Macaca fascicularis: one gene and its partner. The protein of the gene in region 1 purifies or fractionates together with the protein of each later gene. This does not show direct contact. Links are inferred from orthologs where the notes say so. Each region holds a gene or a part of one and is shown on either strand. Other genes may lie near its edges. The genes, in order: SAAL1 and SLC27A2.

What was found.
Region 2: the proteins of SAAL1 (region 1) and SLC27A2 purify together in Homo sapiens (co-immunoprecipitation; 3 studies listed by BioGRID and IntAct, with this or other methods). This does not show direct contact. The link is inferred for Macaca fascicularis from reciprocal best matches to the Homo sapiens genes SAAL1 and SLC27A2.

The regions. Positions count from the first base shown.
Region 1 is NC_088388.1:47,680,269-47,690,203, forward strand, and holds part of SAAL1 (protein SAAL1), read left to right. Parts: intron 1-3,129; coding exon 3,130-3,209; intron 3,210-4,973; coding exon 4,974-5,033; intron 5,034-5,147; exon of another isoform or gene 5,148-5,173; coding exon 5,174-5,289; intron 5,290-5,957; coding exon 5,958-6,138; intron 6,139-8,261; coding exon 8,262-8,344; intron 8,345-8,431; coding exon 8,432-8,620; intron 8,621-9,935. UniProt on the Homo sapiens protein: Plays a role in promoting the proliferation of synovial fibroblasts in response to pro-inflammatory stimuli.
Region 2 is NC_088381.1:26,686,151-26,696,085, reverse strand, and holds part of SLC27A2 (long-chain fatty acid transport protein 2), read right to left. Parts: intron 7,447-9,935; coding exon 7,288-7,446; intron 4,381-7,287; coding exon 4,256-4,380; intron 1-4,255. UniProt on the Homo sapiens protein: Mediates the import of long-chain fatty acids (LCFA) into the cell by facilitating their transport across cell membranes, playing an important role in hepatic fatty acid uptake.

The DNA of each region.
Region 1 (9,935 bases):
AATGTTGAATTAAAATTCTTATTTAAGTAGAATGTTCTGTCTGAATTAGGGCCTGATTAACCATTTTTTCCTTGGTTCCTTATATTAATGTAAGATTTGACAATTATGCTATTTTTGTACTGAGTTTTTCTGTCTTAAATATATTTACTCACTACTAGTGTATAAAGAATAAGCTTATGTCAGGAATGGCACCTTTTAGGATTTAGTCATATTGTTGTATATATCCGCTGGCCACTGTCTGCTGCCACAGTGATTCTCAGCCTTGGCTGCATGTTAGAATCACCTGGGACATGGGCTGTCAAACTTAAGCATGTCCCCGCATCACTAATCGCCAAGCCCCCCTCCAGAGTTTCTAGTCCAGTAGGTCCAGGATTCCTAATATGTTCCCAGGTGACGCTGGTGCTCTGGAGCATTGCCAGACTCTGAGAAGCTTTGCCCTGGGGAACTTTTGAAAATCTTGAGTCAGGCCATACCCTAGATGAGTTAAAGCAGAATCTCCAAGTGTGAGACTTTGGCCAGCTTTTAAAGTTCCCCAGGTGATTCCAGTGAGCAGCCAAGACAGAAAAACTTGATCTTTGATTGGAAGTTCAGTTATTCCCTCTTTAGTTTATAAGGGAAATGTATGTGGTTTTTTCCTGCCCCTACTCACTCTTAATCTTTTCCCAACATTTGACCACCCACATTTTTTTGAAACTTCATTTCTGTAGCTCCTGTGTCATCTCACTGTCGTCTCTGACCTCTTGAGTCACTCCTCTCTCACCTTTCATTGGCTTTTTTCTTTCTTCCTTTTTTATACTGTCCCGAATATGGACTTTTTGTAAGGTGTAGGCCTGATCCTTTGCTCTCATTATATTCATTTTCCTAGTGAACTTATGTGTTTTCTTTACACCTTTAAGTTGCAACTCGCCTGTAGGAGCAAAGCCTTGACTTCCCTTCTGATAACTGATGTCACATCTCCAACTTTCTTCAGGCATTCTCTGCTTGCATGCTGTACAGTTGTCCCTTGGTATACACGGGGGATGGTTGCAAGACATTCCCCCATACTGAAATCCGCACATACTCAATTCTGCAGTCAGCTCTGTGGAACCTGTGTGTATGAAAAGTCAGCTCTGCATATTACGCAGGTTTTGCATCTTGAGGACACTGTATTTTCATTCCAAGTTTGGTTAGAAAAAATCCACCTCTAAGTGGACCCACACATTGAAACCTGTGTTGTTCAAGGGTCAGCTGTGCTCTCTAACCCTGAATTGTGTATGTCCTCAGTGATTTATGGTCACGCTTATCTGATCATAAAAGTCACCTGGTATATGCTGGGTAAACAATAGCTTTCCAGGCTGTACCCTGAAAATTATAATTCAGTAGATCTGAGATGAGATTTGGAAATCTGTATTTTTAACAAGCTCCCTGAGTGATTGTTACATTCCAGCCAGCTTGGAAACACCGTACCATCTGAACTCATTGTAGCCTTTTATGCACTTTCTTTTTTAGTTTTCCTGTCAATGGGACCAATATCACTGACTGAGAAAATGAGGCAACTTGAAAGCTAGGAGTCAGGTTCAGCTGCTTTCTCCCTCATCCTCACATTGGATTATTTTGCTTTCACCTTGAGAGTCTTCCTCAGCTTCATCCTTTTCCATGCCTGAGGGCCCTCCTCCTCTTGCGTCTTGATAACTGAGGTGCAGTTTGGAATAGTGGTTAAATGCTCAAGCTCTGGAGCTCTGCCATGTTCTAGTTGGAGATCTCAAGATCTTAGGCAAGTAGCTTAACTTCTCTGTGCCTTAGTTTCCTCATCTGAAAAAATGGGGATACTATTAGTACCTTTCACCCAAGTTATTATATGAAATTATACACGGAAAATGCTTAGAGTAATGCCTGGCCATAATGAGTGGTAATAAATGTTATTACATATTAATTAACTATTACTGAGATAGATTCTTAAATTCTTTTCAACTTCTTTTCCCTATGCACTAGTCTCCCCTTATCCTTGGGAGATACATTCCAAGGCCCCTAGTGCCTAAAATCAAAGAATAGAACTGAACCCTATTTATAATATGCACAAATTTCCTTTTCCTTCTTCACAATTTCATGGATAGATTTGTTCTTAGAGATCCTAAGCAACCTCAGCATACATTTTTGTATGTTTTTCTTATGAAGTCAAGAACTTTCACCTTTTCATGTAAAGAAAGCACTTAATGGTGGCTCCTTGACATATCCAAATGGCCAGCATCGCTACTCTTGTGCTTTGGGGCCATTATTAAGTAAAATAAGGGTGACATGAACACAAGCCCTGTGAGATACCATGATGGTCGATCTGATAGCCAAATGGCTACTAAGTAACTAATGGGCAGGCAGCGTATACAGTGTGGATATGTTGAACAAAAGAATGAGTTACATCCCAGGTGAGACGGTGCAAGATTTCATTGTGCTACTCAGAAAGGCATGCAATTTAAAACATGAATTGTTTATTTCTGGACCTTCCCATTTAGTACTTTTATACCAAGGTTGACCATGGGTAACTGATACCGTGGATAAAGAGGGGCTACACTAATTCATTATGCATTTTGCCACCAGAATAATCTTTCTAAGATACTGTTTCAGTATGTTGTCTCCCCTCCTTGAGCATCTTCATGATTCCAAATAACTTCCCAGATTAAATCTAATTCTTCAGCATGGCATTCAGAGCCCTTAATCTCAGTCCTTTATACCTGCGGTATTTACCTCATGCTGTTCACCCACTTTGTGCCACAACCGGAGTACTTTATTGTCTACCGTCTTCGCCACATACATGATTCCCTTCCTGCCTTTGCTGATACTGTCCCCTTATTTGAATGTCTGTCTTTTTGTTTGCGTATCTCAATACTATCAATCATTTAACACTCGTTTTATCGATAGGAGTTCTTCTTCCATAGCTCCTGCCTTTGCCCTTTCTTGTTCTTATGTCTTTCATCCCTTCTCAAATACTGTAAGCTTGTCAAAGTTAGGGTACAGGCAGTATATGTATTTCTTTATCCTGCCTCCCCTCTGCCTTACCCCAAAAGTTGGCTCAGTGAAAGTTTTTGTTCAAGTTGATATTTTTGTTTATGTCTTTCATCTCAGAGCCATTGTGACTTGTAAAATTTGATTTGGCAGGAAATCTGTGTGGGAATTTTAGGTAATATGGCCTGTTTCCAGGAGATATGTGTGTCCATCAGCAGTGATAAAAATCTTGGGTAAGTCTTACTATATAATCATGTTTTTAAACATATTCTTTTATATCCTTAAGGAAATTTGTCTTAGGAAAAGTAGCAAATCTGAAAGACAGTCTTTTCTTTGTCTTGATGAATACTCTCTAGGAACTTCATTGTGTGTTGATGGTAGCTAGGGGCTTCTTCAGGAGGTACTGAAATAATTCAGGATTTAAACCTGTTTTCTTCAGTAGCAAAGGAACCTGAATTGTCAGCTGGTGGCAGTAAGCCAGATAGGGGAAGAACCAGTGGGACAAAACTTGGAGATGGTGCAGCCAACTGGAATCCAAAACATTTTAGGTGCAGAGAATCCAGTGACTCAGCTGGAGTCTGCAGAAACTAGATTTGTTGAATAATGTCACCCTGAGAGCTCTGACTTAGAGGATAAGACTTGCCAACAAACTAGAAGATAAAGAGTTGCCTCTGTGATGAAAAGACTCAGATTTCTGCTTCGAGGCTACTTCTCTTCTCCATGTGTAAAGTTCTGGGCAGAAGGTTTTTTAACGGAGGAAACCCAAGTTTGGTTACTGTGTTCTGAGAACACCCTGAAATTATATGCTAAATTTTGTGGGTGTATTAGTTTTCTAGGCAAAGGGTTCATGGCTGTTAATCAGAATCTCAAAAAAATTTGTACCCAAATAGGTTAAGAAAACTGTTCTAGGCAGTTTTTGTCAGAGCTGGGGCCGTGAGGGTTTTATCACAGGATTCAAGTACCTGGGTTTCTCAGAAAGAGATAACTCCTAGTTGTGGAGGGACTTTAAGATCCTAGTTCAGAGTATTTATTCCTCAGTAATTTACAGTCATCCATGGAGCAAATGACTTAGGATTATGTTTGGTCTCTATAATGTTCTCTATCAAAACTCCAGGAATGAGAAATGTTAACAAATATTATAAATTCAAGTAAATGCTTATCTTAATATTAGTATGGTGCAAGTTATTTTGCTGATGGGATATAAATTTGTTGAACCACTTTAGAATAGTTGGGCGTTATCTGGTCACGTTGGAACATATGCATGTGCTGTGACCAGCTCATAGTGGGCATATATGGTAAGAGAAACTGTGCACATGTGCATCAGGATAACTCTTACAAATATTATAGGAGGATTACTTGAAATAGCCCCAAATTAGAATCAACGCAAATGGCCATCAGCAGTAGTCTGGAAAAATAAATTGTGTTATTTTCACACAATGGAGTACTCTGCAACAATCTGTCAAAGAATAACAGCTAAAGAAACAACATGGGTGGATCTTACATGTATAGTTTCCAGCAAATAAATGAAGACTCAAAAGAATAAGTATAATATAATTTATTTCATATGTTGTCTCCCCTCCTTGACCATCTTCATGAATCCGAATAACCTCCCAGATTATGTCTATTTATTCAGCATGTCCTCTTAATCCTTTTACCTGCAGTATAAAGCAACACCAAAATATATAAAATAATAAAACTATAGAGCAAAGTAAAGAAATAATTGCTGGAAAAATCAGAATGGTCATCATTTCTAGGTGGGAAAGAGAATTGTGATTTGGAATGGACACATGGTGACTACTGAGATGCAGCTCTGTTCTGTTTCTTGGAAACACGAGTGTTTGCTTTATAATTATTTATTAACTATAGATTTGTATCTTTTGGGCTTTTCTGAATACATGCTGTATTTCACAATAAAGATGTTAAAAAACTTAAATGAAAACTCGGATATTTTAAATGCAAGAAGTGAGGCATATCGGTTAACTTCTTTGTTTTTGTAGGCAGGTATTATTGCACTGTTTGTATGATTCAGACCCACCTACTCTGCTGGAAACAAGCAGGTATGCTTTTCCTTTCATGAATTCTATAAGGTTACTCATAAGAGTAGCTAAGAAAAAAAGCTAATTTTTTATTTTCGAATTTCCTTTACTGTTTTATTTTTTTTTGAAAAGTAGAAATTCAACCCACGTTTACCATGTAGGTTGTTGCTTACTTGCCTTTCCCAGGCAGAAGTGGCCAGTGTTTGGGTTGAAAGGATCCGGGAACATTCAGCGATTTATGATAGCATTTGCTTCATTATGTCAAGTTCAACAAATGGTAAGTCATCATGTAGTCTAGAAAAAAAAAAGTTTTAAATTTTATTTAATTTTTAGGAAACCATGTAACTATTTCTAGAAGTCACCTTTTTGAAAAAAGCCTTGGGTGCAAGGTAATAAAGTTTGTTAGTTTGAGACAGAATCTTGCTCTGTCACCCAGGTTGGAGTGCAGTAGTGTGATCATAGCCCACTACAGCCTCAAACTCCTAGGCTCAAGGTATCCTTCTGTTAATCTCCCCAATAGCTGGGACTATCGTTGTGCACCGCCATGCTCAGCTCATTTTAAAATTTTTTGTAGAGCTGGAGTCTCACTTTCTTGCCCAGGCTGGTTTCGAACTCATGTGTTCAAGCAGTCATCTAGCCTTGGCCTCCCAAAAGTGTTGGGATTACAGGTGTAAGCCACCATGCCCAGCTTTTTGTTTGTTTTTTGGAGAAAGTTTTTTGATTGAAGATATAAAATTTCTTAAATTCCTGGGACACTGATGAATTCCTCATTTAAAAATGAGGAAAAATACGCAAATTTAAACATGTGAGATAAGTAAATCACCCTTTAGAATAAGTACTGCTTTGGCAAGGTTTGGTTTTGTTAGAATAGCTGTAGGAATTTTGCTTAACCCTATTGCTTTTAGCAATTTGTTTTTATTTCAATCTTTGTTTTATTCTCTGCAGTTGACTTGCTGGTGAAGGTGGGGGAGGTTGTAGACAAGCTCTTTGATTTGGATGAGAAACTAATGTTGGAATGGGTCAGAAATGGGGCTACTCAGCCTCTGGACCAACCCCAGGAAGAGTCTGAAGAGCAGCCAGTGTTTCGGCTCGTGCCCTGTATACTCGAAGCTGCCAAACAAGTACGGTAGGTGAGCTCTTTCGTGCAAAGTGCTCTGGGAAAATGCAATTGATAGAAGTATTCTCAGATATAAAAGTCTTCTTAGATTCCTTACAACAGAATAAAGTACACAGTCACTCCTTGTTACGTTAATTCACTACTAATATTTGTGATGCAACCTGTATGCTTTTTATAAGAATGATAGTGGTTACAAACTTCCTGTTACATTATCATTTAGCTATAGGCTGTTATTCAACATTAACTGTGGTTTCTGTCTTATCATATTTTATGTAATTTAAACCAAAGAGAAAACATTTTCTTGTGCTTTTACGTTGAACATTTAACAACTTCTTAATTAACGTTGCACATCTTTTTTTTTTTTGCTCCTTGTGTTTATATGCCAGTCTTCAATAAGTGACTGATTTTGGGACTCTGATGTCTTGTCAAGAGTGATTACTAAGCCTTATAGGTCATTAAAACTGTTTATTGCTAATCACTAGAAAATTAATTTTTAAATTGATCTGCTTAGTGATTTGCTTAGTGCATTCTTAGTGCTGAGTAAGCCACATCAAACCTATTAATTTTGTGTCCTTTATCCAAGTGAGGATTAAATTCATCATCTTTCCCTAAACCTGCTTCATCAGTATTCTCAATCTCAGTAAATGATGTAATCACTGTCCTGTTTGGATAATATAGAAGAAATGGAGAAGCCATTACAGAATCTTTCCTGCCCCAGTATTTTCCCATTGTAGTCAACTCCCAACCCTTATTCCTGACTTTTTCTGGGATTCCATCCATGCCAGTCAAGCCATTATTGTCTCTCATCTGGAGAACTGCCACATTCTTTTACTTGAATTCGCTGCCTCTATGCTTGCTTTTCCCAAGCCTAGACTTTAAAGCTGTTTTTGCAAAGTACGTACTCGTCTCACTCTCATGCTTCAGTCTTTTCAGTTACCTTCCTTAGGATAAGGTCCAGAAAAAAACAAAAACAAACACAAACACAGCTTGGGTACTGTGTACATCACCGGGGTGATGGGACCATCCATATTCCCAAACCTCAGCACCATGCATGTAACAACCCCCAACATGTACCTTCTGAATCCAAAATATAAATAAATAAAATAGGGGGAAAAAGAATGAAATAAATGAAAAATTCTCAGAAAAATAAAGTGCAGCTTATAGGCCCAGTAGTACTATCCTTATTCCTTGTACTCTGCGTTTCAGTCATGTGAAGTTTGCTTCACTTCTTCAACTGAACCAGCTCTCTTGTCTCCAGGCCTTTGCACAGTATGTTTCCTCCACCTCACATACTTCTTTGCCCCTTCATGTTTCTGTGTAAACATCATTTTTCTTAAGGTACCTCCCCTGACCCTGCAAACTGAGTCTCCTTGCTATATAGTGGCTCCTAGCCCTATAGTGTTACATTCATACCACGTTATTGTAATTACCCCGCTAGCAATCTTCTTTCTTTTTAAAGTATAAACTTTATGAAGGTAGGGATAACATCTTATACATCTGTTTTCTCAACTCCTAACATAGTGCCTGAAATTTAATTTGTAAGTACTTAAATAAACATTTGCCAAACCATTGTTTTAATTGTTCACTGTCTTTTCACTTGCTTGGTTGAAGAACTAAGATTTTGAGTTTCCAAACTATTTAGATTTTTGAGAATCCAAATGGTTGATCATAAGAATTAGACTTATATGCTTTTAGTATTCTCAGCTAGGGGGCTAGGATAATCCTGAGACGTTTTCAGAACATCATTTTTGTTGATGCATGGTGCAGTGGACCTTACGTTCATACTATAAAAATCGCAGTCATTTTTTTGTTCTGATTATTCAAGCAAACCAAAATGATAAAGTATCAACTAGCAGGTTTCTGCATTGTTGCTTTTATGAGATAGAGCCAAAAAGATTTTTTTACTTCTTGTCCTGTGTGTGTTGATTATTTTATATAATGTTTATTTTTTGCTGTTTCCCCTATTAGAATATAAAAGCTCTAACGAGCACAGAGCCTTCGTTCCTTTCCTTGTTTTATCCTCAGCACCTTGAACAGTGGCTGGCAGAGTAATAGATATTTATTGAATGGATGAATGATTGGAATCCCCTGGACAGTAACGTTGATTCAGTGCTTTTACTTTTCCTGTTTAGTTCTGAAAATCCAGAATGGCTTGATGTTTACATGCATATTTTACAACTGCTTACTACAGTGGATGATGGAATTCAAGCAATTGGTAAGATGGTTTATCGGAAGCGCTACAGTTACTCATTTAATTGTTTGCTGATTTTAAAGTACTGCTTTATTTGTTGTCTTTATTAAGTACATTGTCCTGACACTGGAAAAGACATTTGGAATTTACTTTTTGACCTGGTCTGCCATGAATTCTGCCAGTCTGATGATCCACCCATCATTCTTCAAGAACAGAAAACAGTGCTAGCCTCTGTTTTTTCAGTGTTGTCTGCCATTTATGCCTCACAGACTGAGCAAGAGTATCTAAAGATAGAAAAAGGCAAGTACAATTTCCTAGGCTCATATTGTTTTTCATTTCATTGATTTCTCCCTTTTAAAAAACGCTTTCATTTCCCTAGTTATAAAAATATGCTAAACTTCAAAATTTATTTTATTATTGTATTTATTTACTTATTTTACTTTTTATTTATTTTTATTTTTTGGAAACAGAGTCTTGCTCTGCTGCCCAGGCTGGAGTGCGGTGGTACGATCTTGGCTCACTGAAACCTTTGCCTCCTGGATTCAAGTGATTCTCGTGCCTCAGCCTCCCAAGTAGCTAGGATTACAGCCACATACCACTGTGCCCAGCTAATTTTTGTATTGTTTCAGTAGAGACAGCGTTTCACCATGTTGGCCAGGCTGGGCTGGAACTCCTGAGCTCAGGTGATCCACCCGCCTCGGCCTCCCAGAGTGCTGGGATTACAGGTGTGAGCCACCCCGCCTGGCCTATTTACTTATTTTAAAGACAGAGTCTTATTTTGTCGCCCAGGCTATAGTGCCATGGCAGGATCATAGCTCACTGCAACCTTGAATTCCTGGGCTCAGGTGATTGTCTCACCTCAGCCTTCTGAGTAGCTGGTACTACAGCCACATGACACCACACCTGGCTAGTTTTTAAATTTTTTATAGAGACAGGGTCTTACAATCTTGCCCAGGCTTGTCACAAACTCCTGGGCTCAAATGACCCTCCTGCCTTGCCTTCCAGAGTGCTGGGATTACAGGCATGAGCCTCAGCACCCTGCCTAAAAATTGATAAAAAATATCAAGGAAACATGATGTCTGTAATCTTATCATCCAACACATGCACATATATTTAATTCTGCTTTTTAGCCGACATTTCATTTAGAAATATAAAATGAATATTTTCCTATGTAAACACATAGTCTTTCACAGAATGATTTTTATGACCACAATTAAATTCATGATTCATTTAGAATTTATTCTGGTGTCACATGTGAAGTGTGACTTTAATTCTTTTTTCCCCCTTTAATAACTTTGGTACTAGTGGTATCAATTTCTTTTCCAGAGGGCTACCCAGTTATCTCAACATCATTTAGTGAGTAATCCAGCTTACCCACACTGATTTGAAATTTCATCATTATTTTTTAAATTCCCCTATATATTCTATTCAGTTCCATTACTATGTTCATATATTAGTAGCCATAGTGTTTTTAAATATTAAGGTTTTATGTTTTAATACTTAATAAGGCGAATTCCTCTTCATTCTAAGTTTTCAGAATGTTTTTAACTATTCTTATCACTAACTTTAAGTTCCAAAAACAAAAACTTTCTGATATTTTTATTGACATCGTGTT
Region 2 (9,935 bases), on another chromosome or scaffold:
GTTCACATTTGAGTCTCAGCAGAGTGAAGCCCTTGCCACCTGACCCAGCCCTTCAGCTTCACCTCCTGCCAGACTGCTTGCAGTCCCTAGTATGCTGGGTCCTTCATCTCACTGCTCATGTGATTTTCCTGCTGGCCAGAACCCCTTCTTCTCTTGCCTGCCTGCAGAACTTCTCTGTATTCTTCAAAGCCCACTTTCCCTGGCGAACCTTCCTGATTCTGCTCCCCTTCCCTCTTTCTTTTGGCCTCCCTCTGTCTTGGGCCCCAGTCATACTGGCCACCCTCCACTCTGTGCTGCAACACATCCATCCATTCTCTTTTTTGAACAGAATGAAGCTGATGCAGAGACAGAAATTTTACGCTAGAAGGGACCACAGAGGTTATCTAATTTTGGGGGGATGCAGACAACACTAGAGGTAAGTTGAGTCTATTCAGCTTTTTCAGGGTTCTGGTCAATATTATTTCTCCTTTGAAATATCATGCTTCTGTGTGTGGCCGCTGGAACTCTTTTTTGGTTCCCTTTCTGTCTTCCTCCTCCCACACTCCAGCAGGTGGCCTAAAGCCTCACTGAGACCCCTTGCTGTAGCTTCAGTCTGTAATTGGAGGAAAGAAATACCGAGCTTTAGCAATATCATGTTCCAGTAAATAACTTTCCCTAGATGACATGGTTTTTAGGCAACTACGCAAACTGAATGGGAGGTGACAACCATACACTGCAAGAAATGAATCAGAATGGCCTTTCATTACAAACAGGCGCTCTGAAAGGAAAGGCCCAAAAACAATGCGGGAAGATGGCAAAATAAATAGAAAATATTCACTGTAATATTTTAAAAATCACTTAGGTCAACAGCTTTGCTATCTAATCCCCTACTCAACCTCAGATGAGAGTGATTAAGTAGAATGTTTTCCCTTATTTCTTTCTTTGTGTAAGTGGGCAGAATTTTCATTGATTCATTCAACAAATATGTATGGGATGCCTATTATGAGCGACACACTGTTAGGCATGGAAAATGATAATGATAATAATGGCAACATGTGTTGAGCATTTACTAAGTTCCAGCTACTACGTGGTTTACGTATATCATCTCATGTTGTCTTTGTAGACCTCATGTGAGGTAGGTACTATTATCTCCTTGTCGGCTGATGGGAAGCTGAGATTTAGAGAGGTTAACTATCCTGCTCCAATAGTAGAGTCAGGATTCAGGCTGACTAACTCCAGAGTACTTGCTCTCAGCACTACTTTAAGTATCTGGAGCCAAATCTGAACCACTGAGTGTGGCTAGGAACATTCTCCATAGCCCCCTGCTCTACCAGAGAAGCTACTGAATATGGCTGAGAAGAGGGCAGAGAAGCACAGTGGCTTCCACCTCCCAGCACTGGCCCCAGATCCTCCTGATGAGCTGGGCCATGTATGTGTGTGGATGGGTGTCATTGGTTTAGCTGCTCTGCTAAGGCAGAGGTTGCAAACCTCCCTGGCATCCAGTGCTTGGGAGTCGTTGGTGGGGTTAGTCCCTCCAGACACAGCGTATTCTAGGCAGCTCTAAGGGTGAGGAAGTTCCCGATTACATTGATCTAGGCCCTTCCCCCATTCATTCTAGTTTTTATCCCATTCTTTTTTATTTTTATTTTTTGCAAAGTCTTTTTGATATAATCTTTCCCATACCCCACAGAATCTGGACTTCCTACTTCCTATGATGACCCATGATTAAATTTTTTAAAAAAATTTTGCATAGATCTCCTGCTTGTCTAATGACCTATGATTGTTTCCTTTCTGTTTTCTTTTCCTTTTTTTTTTTTTTTTTTTTTTTGAGATAGGGTCTTGTTCTGTCACCCAGGCTGGAGTGCAGTGGCACAATCTTGGCTCACAGCAACATCTGCCTCCCGCTTCAAGCGACTCTCTTGCTTCAGCCTCCCGAGTAGTTGGGATTACAGGCGCGTGCCAACAAACCCCGCTAATTTTTGTATTTTTAGTAGAGACTGGGTTTCTCCATGTTGGCCAGGCTGGTCTTGAACTCCTGACCTTGAATGATCTGCCCGCCTCGGCCTCCCAAAGTGTTGGGATTAGAGGCGTGAGCCATCGTGCCTGGACTGATGACCTGTGATCAAAAAAAAATCTTTAACTGAAGTTTTTTTTTTGTTGTTGTTGAGATAACTTTGATCTTTTATTATACTTTCTATGAGTATTTTCCAGACAAACAGAACTCAGGGGTGGGGAAGCACTGGCAAATAGGAAGTCCAGGGGTCATTCAAGATTATGCATTAAATCATAGTATATTTTGAAGTCATAAAACCCCAATCAAATTGTCTTTGTTTTCCAGTATTCGAGATAACAGTAAGAGAAAAACTGGGAGAGTGCATGCATGTGTGTGTGTATGTGTGCATGTGTGTATGTGGATATGTGTAAGCCTTAAGACAGCTACACACAAACATACTTATTTTCCTCCAGTTGAAAGGAAGCTCCCGTTAGAACGTATAGAAACAACACACACTCCCCAGGAGATTTCTAACTGACAAGGGAGTGTCTTTAAGGTAGAGAAGAAAAGCCCAGCAGAAGGGCCCCATATGGATTTCTGGATGTTAATGGAGAGACATGCTATCTTGAGGGCCACGTGGAATATTAATGAGAAAAAAATTCAATAATGACATTAACAGAAACTGCTGCGGAAAACGCCCTAACCCAACTCACTGCTAATGATGATCCTCAAGAATCTATTTAATATGCCAAAAAATCAGAATAATATGTGCTAAGCCCAAACATTTTGGGGGAAACATTTTAGCTCCCTCAACTCAACTATATGTTTTTCAGGGTCAAGGATTTAAAAGGTTCGGTCCGCAAAATCTGTTGATGCCTATGATATGTCATTTACAGATCTCGGTGCTGTGGATCTGGTAGTGGACAGAGCCCCTGCTCATATGCAACTTTCATTTAATTGGGCGGGGGGGCCAGACAATAATCGCATAAACCTTTAGTATGTCAGGAGTGACAGGTGCCATGAAATGCAGTGACAAGCTGGACAGTGAGGGGCAGGTGATATGTTTGATTATTAGCAGGAGAGGCCTCTCTCCTAATGAGGTAACATCTGGGCAGATACTGAGTAAAGCGAGGTGAGAGAGACCTGGGGGAAGAGCATCCGACACTTCTTTCTGCGTCACATAGCGGCTGGTATGTAAGGTGAGCACAACAGGTGTTTATCAATAGCAATTTATCAACTTAGTGATCCTTTGAGGTTAAGTTGACTGAGTAGATTAAAGGAACTAGAATCTGGTGAAAGGGATTAGAATCTGGCAAGTTTACTGCATTGTCTTGCCCAGTGGTTCTCAACTAGGGTAGCATTTGCCTGCCAAGGGATATTTGGCAGTATCTGGAGACATTTTGATGATCACAACCTGGGCAGGTGGGGAGGTTACTACTGGCATCTCGTGGGCAAAGTTCAAAGGGTGCTAAACACTCTACAATGCACGGAATAAGTCCATGCAGCAAAGAATTAAAAGCCCAAAGTGTCAGCAGTGCCACTGTTGATAAATCCTATCTGATACCAGATCTGTGATGAGAGTTGAGGGACTGGGCAGGAGGAGCTCTTGAGAACAACCCCATCGAGAGCTGAACATCTGCAAACCAGGCAGATCCAAGGCCGTTGGAGATGCCCTGGGGCCTCTGTTCCCAGCTTGGTGACAGACTTGGCTGGTTGGTTTCAAAGTCACGCAGGGATTTATTTATTAAACAATATTAAGTAAAAGTTTCCTGTATGGTTTTGGTATAACAGAAAACAAGGAGACAAGATGTGGTTCCAGCCATCAAAGATATTACAGCCAAGGAAGGATGGGAGGCATGAACGCAAACTCCTGCAATGTGACAAGGGCCACAGAGGGTAGAAATAAAATGACGTAGGGGAGAAGAGTAATGACTTTTGTTGGAGTGACCCAAATAGGTTTAATGTATGAGGTATCATTTGAACTGGGCTTTGACAATGGCTTTTAGTAAGCAGAGAGGGAAATGCATGATATGCTAGGTGGGGGGTAAGATGTGAAAACAAGTAAAAAGTCAGGAAATAATAATCATCATCATGATAATATGAACTCCCACCTAATAAGTCCCCTCTATATGGTAGGTATAGTGCCAAGTACTTTATCATGATAATTGTATACTAAACTCAAAACTGATATACGCAAATCAGCTAAAGCCTAGCACAACCCAAAGTGACTTGAATTTCCATCTTACCCATTTCAAAATGATAGTACAACCGGGGTAGTGTTACCTGTGGTGTGTTGCATAAATACCGAAGCAGTTCACCGATATACTGAATGACAGTGACGTTGTATTTTCTGCAGTCATCCCAAAACTGGCTGGCTGAAAATTTAGTCCGCAAGGCAAGAGTAGCACCTACAGAGAAAGCATAGAAAGTGTCAAGAAAGAGGCCGGGCGTGGTGGCTCAAGCCTGTAATCCCAGCACTTTGGGAGGCCGAGGCGGGCGGATCACAAGGTCAGGAGATCGAGACCATCCTGGCTAACACGGTGAAACCCCTCTCTTCTAAAAATACAAAAAAATTAGCCAAGCATGGTGGCGGGTGCCTGTAATCCCAGCTACTCGGGAGGCTGAGGCAGGAGAATGGTGTGAACCCGGGGGGCGGAGCTTGCAGTGAGCCGAGATTGTGCCACTGCACTCCAGCCTGGGGCACAGAGCAAGACTCCGTCTCAAAAAAAAAAAAAAACAAACAAAAAGAAAGTGTGAAGAAAGAAATGGTAGAAAAAATTCTCCCAATTATATTTAATTTGTGAACTTTGAAAGACAGAAATTTAAAAGTAAATTATATTTGCAAACAAGTATTGAGTACCTTATATTCAATGCAAAAAATTAGTAAGACATGGTTTTGTTTGATAGGGGCTTCCAATCTATGGAGGAGAAGACTTATACAAAGGTCATTTTAATAAAAGTCAGCTTGCAGTAAGAGATTCAAATGAGGTCCTAAGAGGGAGGGAGGGGGGAGGGACAGAGATTTCATGCAAAAAAAATATATATATATAAATAAATATAAATATTTCATGCTATATAAATATATATAGTGAGACTGTCTCAAAAATACACATATACACACACATACGTGTGTGTGTGTGTGTGTGTGTGTATATATTTGAGACAGAGTCTCGTTCTATTTTTTTTTTTCTTTTTTTGAGACTGAGTCTCGCTCTGTCACCCAGGCTGGAGTGCAGTGGTGCCATCTTGACTCACTGCAACATCCGCCTCCTGGGTTCAAGTGATTCTCTTGCCTCAGCCTCCTGAGTAGGTGAGATTACAGCTGTGTGCCACCACGCCTGGCAAATTTTTTGTATTTTTAGTAGAGATGGGGTTTCCCTGTGTTAGCCAGATGGTCTCAATCTCCTGACCTTGTGATCTGTCCCCCTCGGCCTCCCAAAGTGCTGGGATTACAGGCGTGAGCCACTGCACCTGGCCCGAGTCTCGCTCTGTTGCCCCGGCTGGAGTGCAGTGGTGCAATCTTGGCTCACTGCAACCTCCGCCTTGTGGGTTCTTGTGCCTCAGTCTCTAAGTAGCTGGGATTATAGGCGGGCACCATCATGCCTGGCTAATTTTTGTATTTTTTAAGAAGTGATGGGGTTTTGCCATGTTGACCAGGCTGGTCTCAAACTCTTGACCTCAAGTGATTCGCCTGCCTCAACCTCCCAAAGTGCTGGGATTACGGGCAGGAGCCACTGTGCCTGGCTCGTTCATGCAATATTTTAAATAATTTTGTGCATAAAATAAAGTTTGTGTTAAGTACTTATCTGTAGTATTTTCCACTTGTGGTGTCCTGGTGCTCAAAAAGTTTCAGATTTTGGAGCATTTTGGATTTCAAATTTTTGGATTGTGTGTGTGTGTGTGTGTGTGTGTGTGTGTGTGTGTGTTTAAGCTGCTATAACAATATAGTACAGACTGGGTGGCTTAAATAACATATATCTCTTGCAGTTCTGGAGGCTGCGAAGTCCCTATCAAGGTGTTGGCAGATCGGGTGTCTGGTGAGGGCATTTTTCCTGGTTTGGGGACGGTCATCATCTCCCTGTGTCCTTACATGGAAGAGAACGGAGTCAGGAAAGAAGCTCTCTCCTGTCTCTTCTGATAAGGGCACTACCTTTCATGAAGGTGCTTCTCTCATGACCCAATTACCTCCCAAAGACCCTACCAGCTAATACCATCACATTGGGGGTTAGGATTTCAACACATACATTTTTGGGGGACACAAATATCCATCCATGACATGCATGCATATACACACACATATATGTGTGTGTATATACATATGTGTATATATTTTTATATATACATATATGATTATTTAAAATGAAATGCCACATGGGAGAAAAAGTTGCTTTTTAGTTCAGTCAGAAAGTTACAGATAGCTTCCTGGAAGAGGTGGCTATTGAACTTTGCAGTAATGTATACAAGTGACATAAATCCTCCTGGAAGGAGAGAGGATGGCAACTCCAATTTGAATAGTAAAGTCTGAGAAGGAAAGAGAAGAGATGGCAAGCCAAGCCAAGTATTCTGATGGAGTTGCCATCTTCTCTCCTTCTAGTAGAGCTGAAAAGCTGTGGAAACAGGGGAGGCTGCAGAAGAGTGCACACAACTGAAGAAGTTTAAATCAGATGCTGATGGAGATCAACATGTAAGTTTCTAAAGATGGAAATGACATGACATAGAATCTAAGATTCAAGTGTCATAACCTAGATACAGATAATTTTTTATTTTTATTTTTATTTTATTTTTCACAGTTGAGGTCTCACTCTGTCAACCAGCTTGGAGTGCAGTGGTGCAATCACAGCTCACTGCAATCTTGAACTCTTGGACTCAAGCAATTCTCTTACTTCAGCCTCCTGGGTAGCTGGGACTACAGACTTGAGCCACCATGCCTGGCTATTTTTTTTTTTTGTAGAGATGAGGTTTGCTCTGTTGCCCAGGCTGGTCTTGAACTCCTGGCCTCAAGCAATCCTCCTGCCTTGGTCTCCCAAAGTGCTGGGAATACAGGTGTGAACCATTGCACCCAGCTCTAAAAAATTTAAAGGAGTTTCTCACTTGATATGCTGAACAATTATAGCATTATATTATTAGATAAGCAGGCATGAAAAAACAGATTATTTTAGATGCTTGCTTGTAATATGAGTCAAATAGCCTTATTGTTAAAGCAAAATTGAAGACTGTTCCAAGCAGACAGCAACGTAGCCAAATTTTATATTACTGTTCCTTGTGAGAAAATGTAAATGTGCACTCGCCTCCAACACTTTGTAGGAAAAACTTACCAGCCACAATACATCCATGAAGGCCAATCAATAGTGCAGCACTGTGGTACAAGGGCAGAGTGATATAGATGACATCATCTGCCTTCAATCCGCTTACAAAAGTGAGGCCAGTTCCATACCATATGCGCTGATGAGTGATCATGGCCGCTTTTGGAAGACCTTTGCAAATATACAAGAGAAGGTATGAGTTAACCAAGATTGGGCATTTACAGTGTAGGAGAGAGATCTGGCTTAGGAAGATTAATCATCCTGTATTTTGAGAATTGCACTGGGAAGGGCCATGACCGGTTAGACCAGAAGTTGACAAATTTTTTCTATAAAGGACCAGAGAGTAAATGTTTTAGGCTTTGTGGGTCATACAATCTCTGTTGCAACAACTGAACTCTGCTATTGTGGTCAAAAGCAGCCATACACATACACATAAATGGAGTGTGGCTGTGTTCCAATAAAACTTTATTTATAAAAACAGGTGGGAAGCTGTATTTGGCCCACAAGCAACAGATTGCTAACTCCTGAGTTAGATGGTTAGATGGTAGTAATCTGAAGAGAAACAGAAAACAGAGGAATGAATGTCTATTGAATTTCTGCTCTGTGGCTACCATTTTGCATGAAATTTAAAAAATGTCATTTAATTTCCATAACATGTTTATGTATGACATAAACAGAATTATATTCTCCAATCCACAGATGTGAAGGCTGGGAGTCAGAGAGATTTCTTATGTACTGGAGTTATTTTATACAAACAAAGCAAATATGAACATTTCCTTATATGTTCTTGCCTTTTCCATTAAAAAATATGCACACTCAGCTGGGTGCGATGGCTCACACCTGTAATCCCAGCACTTTGGGAGGCCAAGGTGGATGGATCACAAGGTCAGGAGATCGAGACCATCCTGGCTAACATGGTGAAATCCCGTCTCTACTAAAAATACAAAAAATTAGCCAGGCGTGGAGGTGGGCACCTGTAGTCCCAGCTACTTGGGAAGTTGAGGCGGGAGAATGGCGTGAACCTGGGAGGCGGAGGTTGCAGTGAGCTGAGATAGCGCCACTGCACTCCAGCCTGGGCGACAGAGTCAGACTCTGTCTCAAAAAAAAAAAAAAGCACACTCTTTTGCATGTTTTTTGTCTCTGCTGCTTAACACTGTTTATTGGAGATTTGTTCATGTTTGTACATAGAGATTTTTCTTATTCATTTATTTATTCTCTTTCTCAGCTCCTTCAGAAGTCCTTTTATGAGTCTATTATAATTTATTTATACTATTTGCTGTTACAAATGATGCTGCAGTGAAGAACCTCGTCCACATGGCAGTTCACATATGAATGACACCATATCTTTTGGATAAATTCACAGAAGTGAGATTGTTGTGTCAAAAGATAAAAGATGGCCAGTCCTGTAATCCCAGCACTTTGGGATGCTGAGGCAGGAGGATCGCTTGAGCCCAGGAGTTCAGCACCAGTCTGGGCAACATAGTGAGACCCCTCCTCAACAAAAAGTAAAACAAATTAGCTGGGCGTGGCAGCATGCATCTGTAGTCCTAGCTTCTTGGGTAGGAGGATTGCTTGAGCCCAGGAGGTTGAGGCTACAGTGAGCCCTGATCCTGCCACTGTACTCCAGCCTGGGCAACAGATTGAGTCCCTGTCTCAAAAAAAAAAGTCTTTGTAATCTTGATAAATAACTGCCACATTGCCAGTTATAAGGGGTGTCCCCATTCATTCTCCTACCAGCAATACATGAGTATGCCTGTTTCCTCCTAGCCTTGTCAATGTGTGCTCTTAAATGTTGGGACCTTTGCCAGTCAGAAAGGTGAAAAACGGTATCTCCATGTAGTTTTAGTACATTAGACTAAATGCGTTTGCATATTCTTAACCATAATTTATATACGTTTTTGTAAGATTTTCTTCTGTTAAGTGTTTGCTTATATTGTTTCCCATGGAAGAACAGTTCAATTGGGGAGGGCATGAAGTCACTGGGAAGGGGACTAAGAGTTTCAGATCTGAGTGGGTAAGTAGACTTCATGAAGAGGAAGACAGATCTCTGTTGACTCAGATTCTTCAATACTTGATGGTACATTCACCGGATATTGCCCAAATAGCAGCAACTTGTTCCGAGGCAGACAAATATGGTCAGCAACCTACCATTATTGTAAACACAATTCAAAATTCATTTTCTTTGACAATGGGCCAGTTGTTTTGTTTTGTTTTATATATTATTATTAGTATTATTTTTGAGATAGGCTTTCACTCTGTTGCCAGGCTGGAGTGTAGTGGTGTTCAAGGCTCACCACAGCCTCAGGTCAAGTGATCCTCTTGTCTCATCCCCGCAAGTATCTGGGACCACAGGTGTGCACCACCATGCCTGACTAATTTATTTATATTTTTTGTAGAGACGAGGTCTTGCTTTATTGCCCAGACTGATCTTGAACTCTTGGCTTCAAGTGAGCCTCCCATCTTGGCCCCAAAGTGTTGGGATTGTAGATAAGAGCCATCGTGCCTGGCCTCTCAATTTTTAAAAAAGAAATGCTCATCTTTGTTGCCTTGAAGTACTTTCAGAACTTTCCTAAATTAAGATTTTGTATCAATGAAGAAATGAGAATATTTGATAACTATTATATAATTTTGTGCTAACGACTTCCTTTGAGGAACAGGGA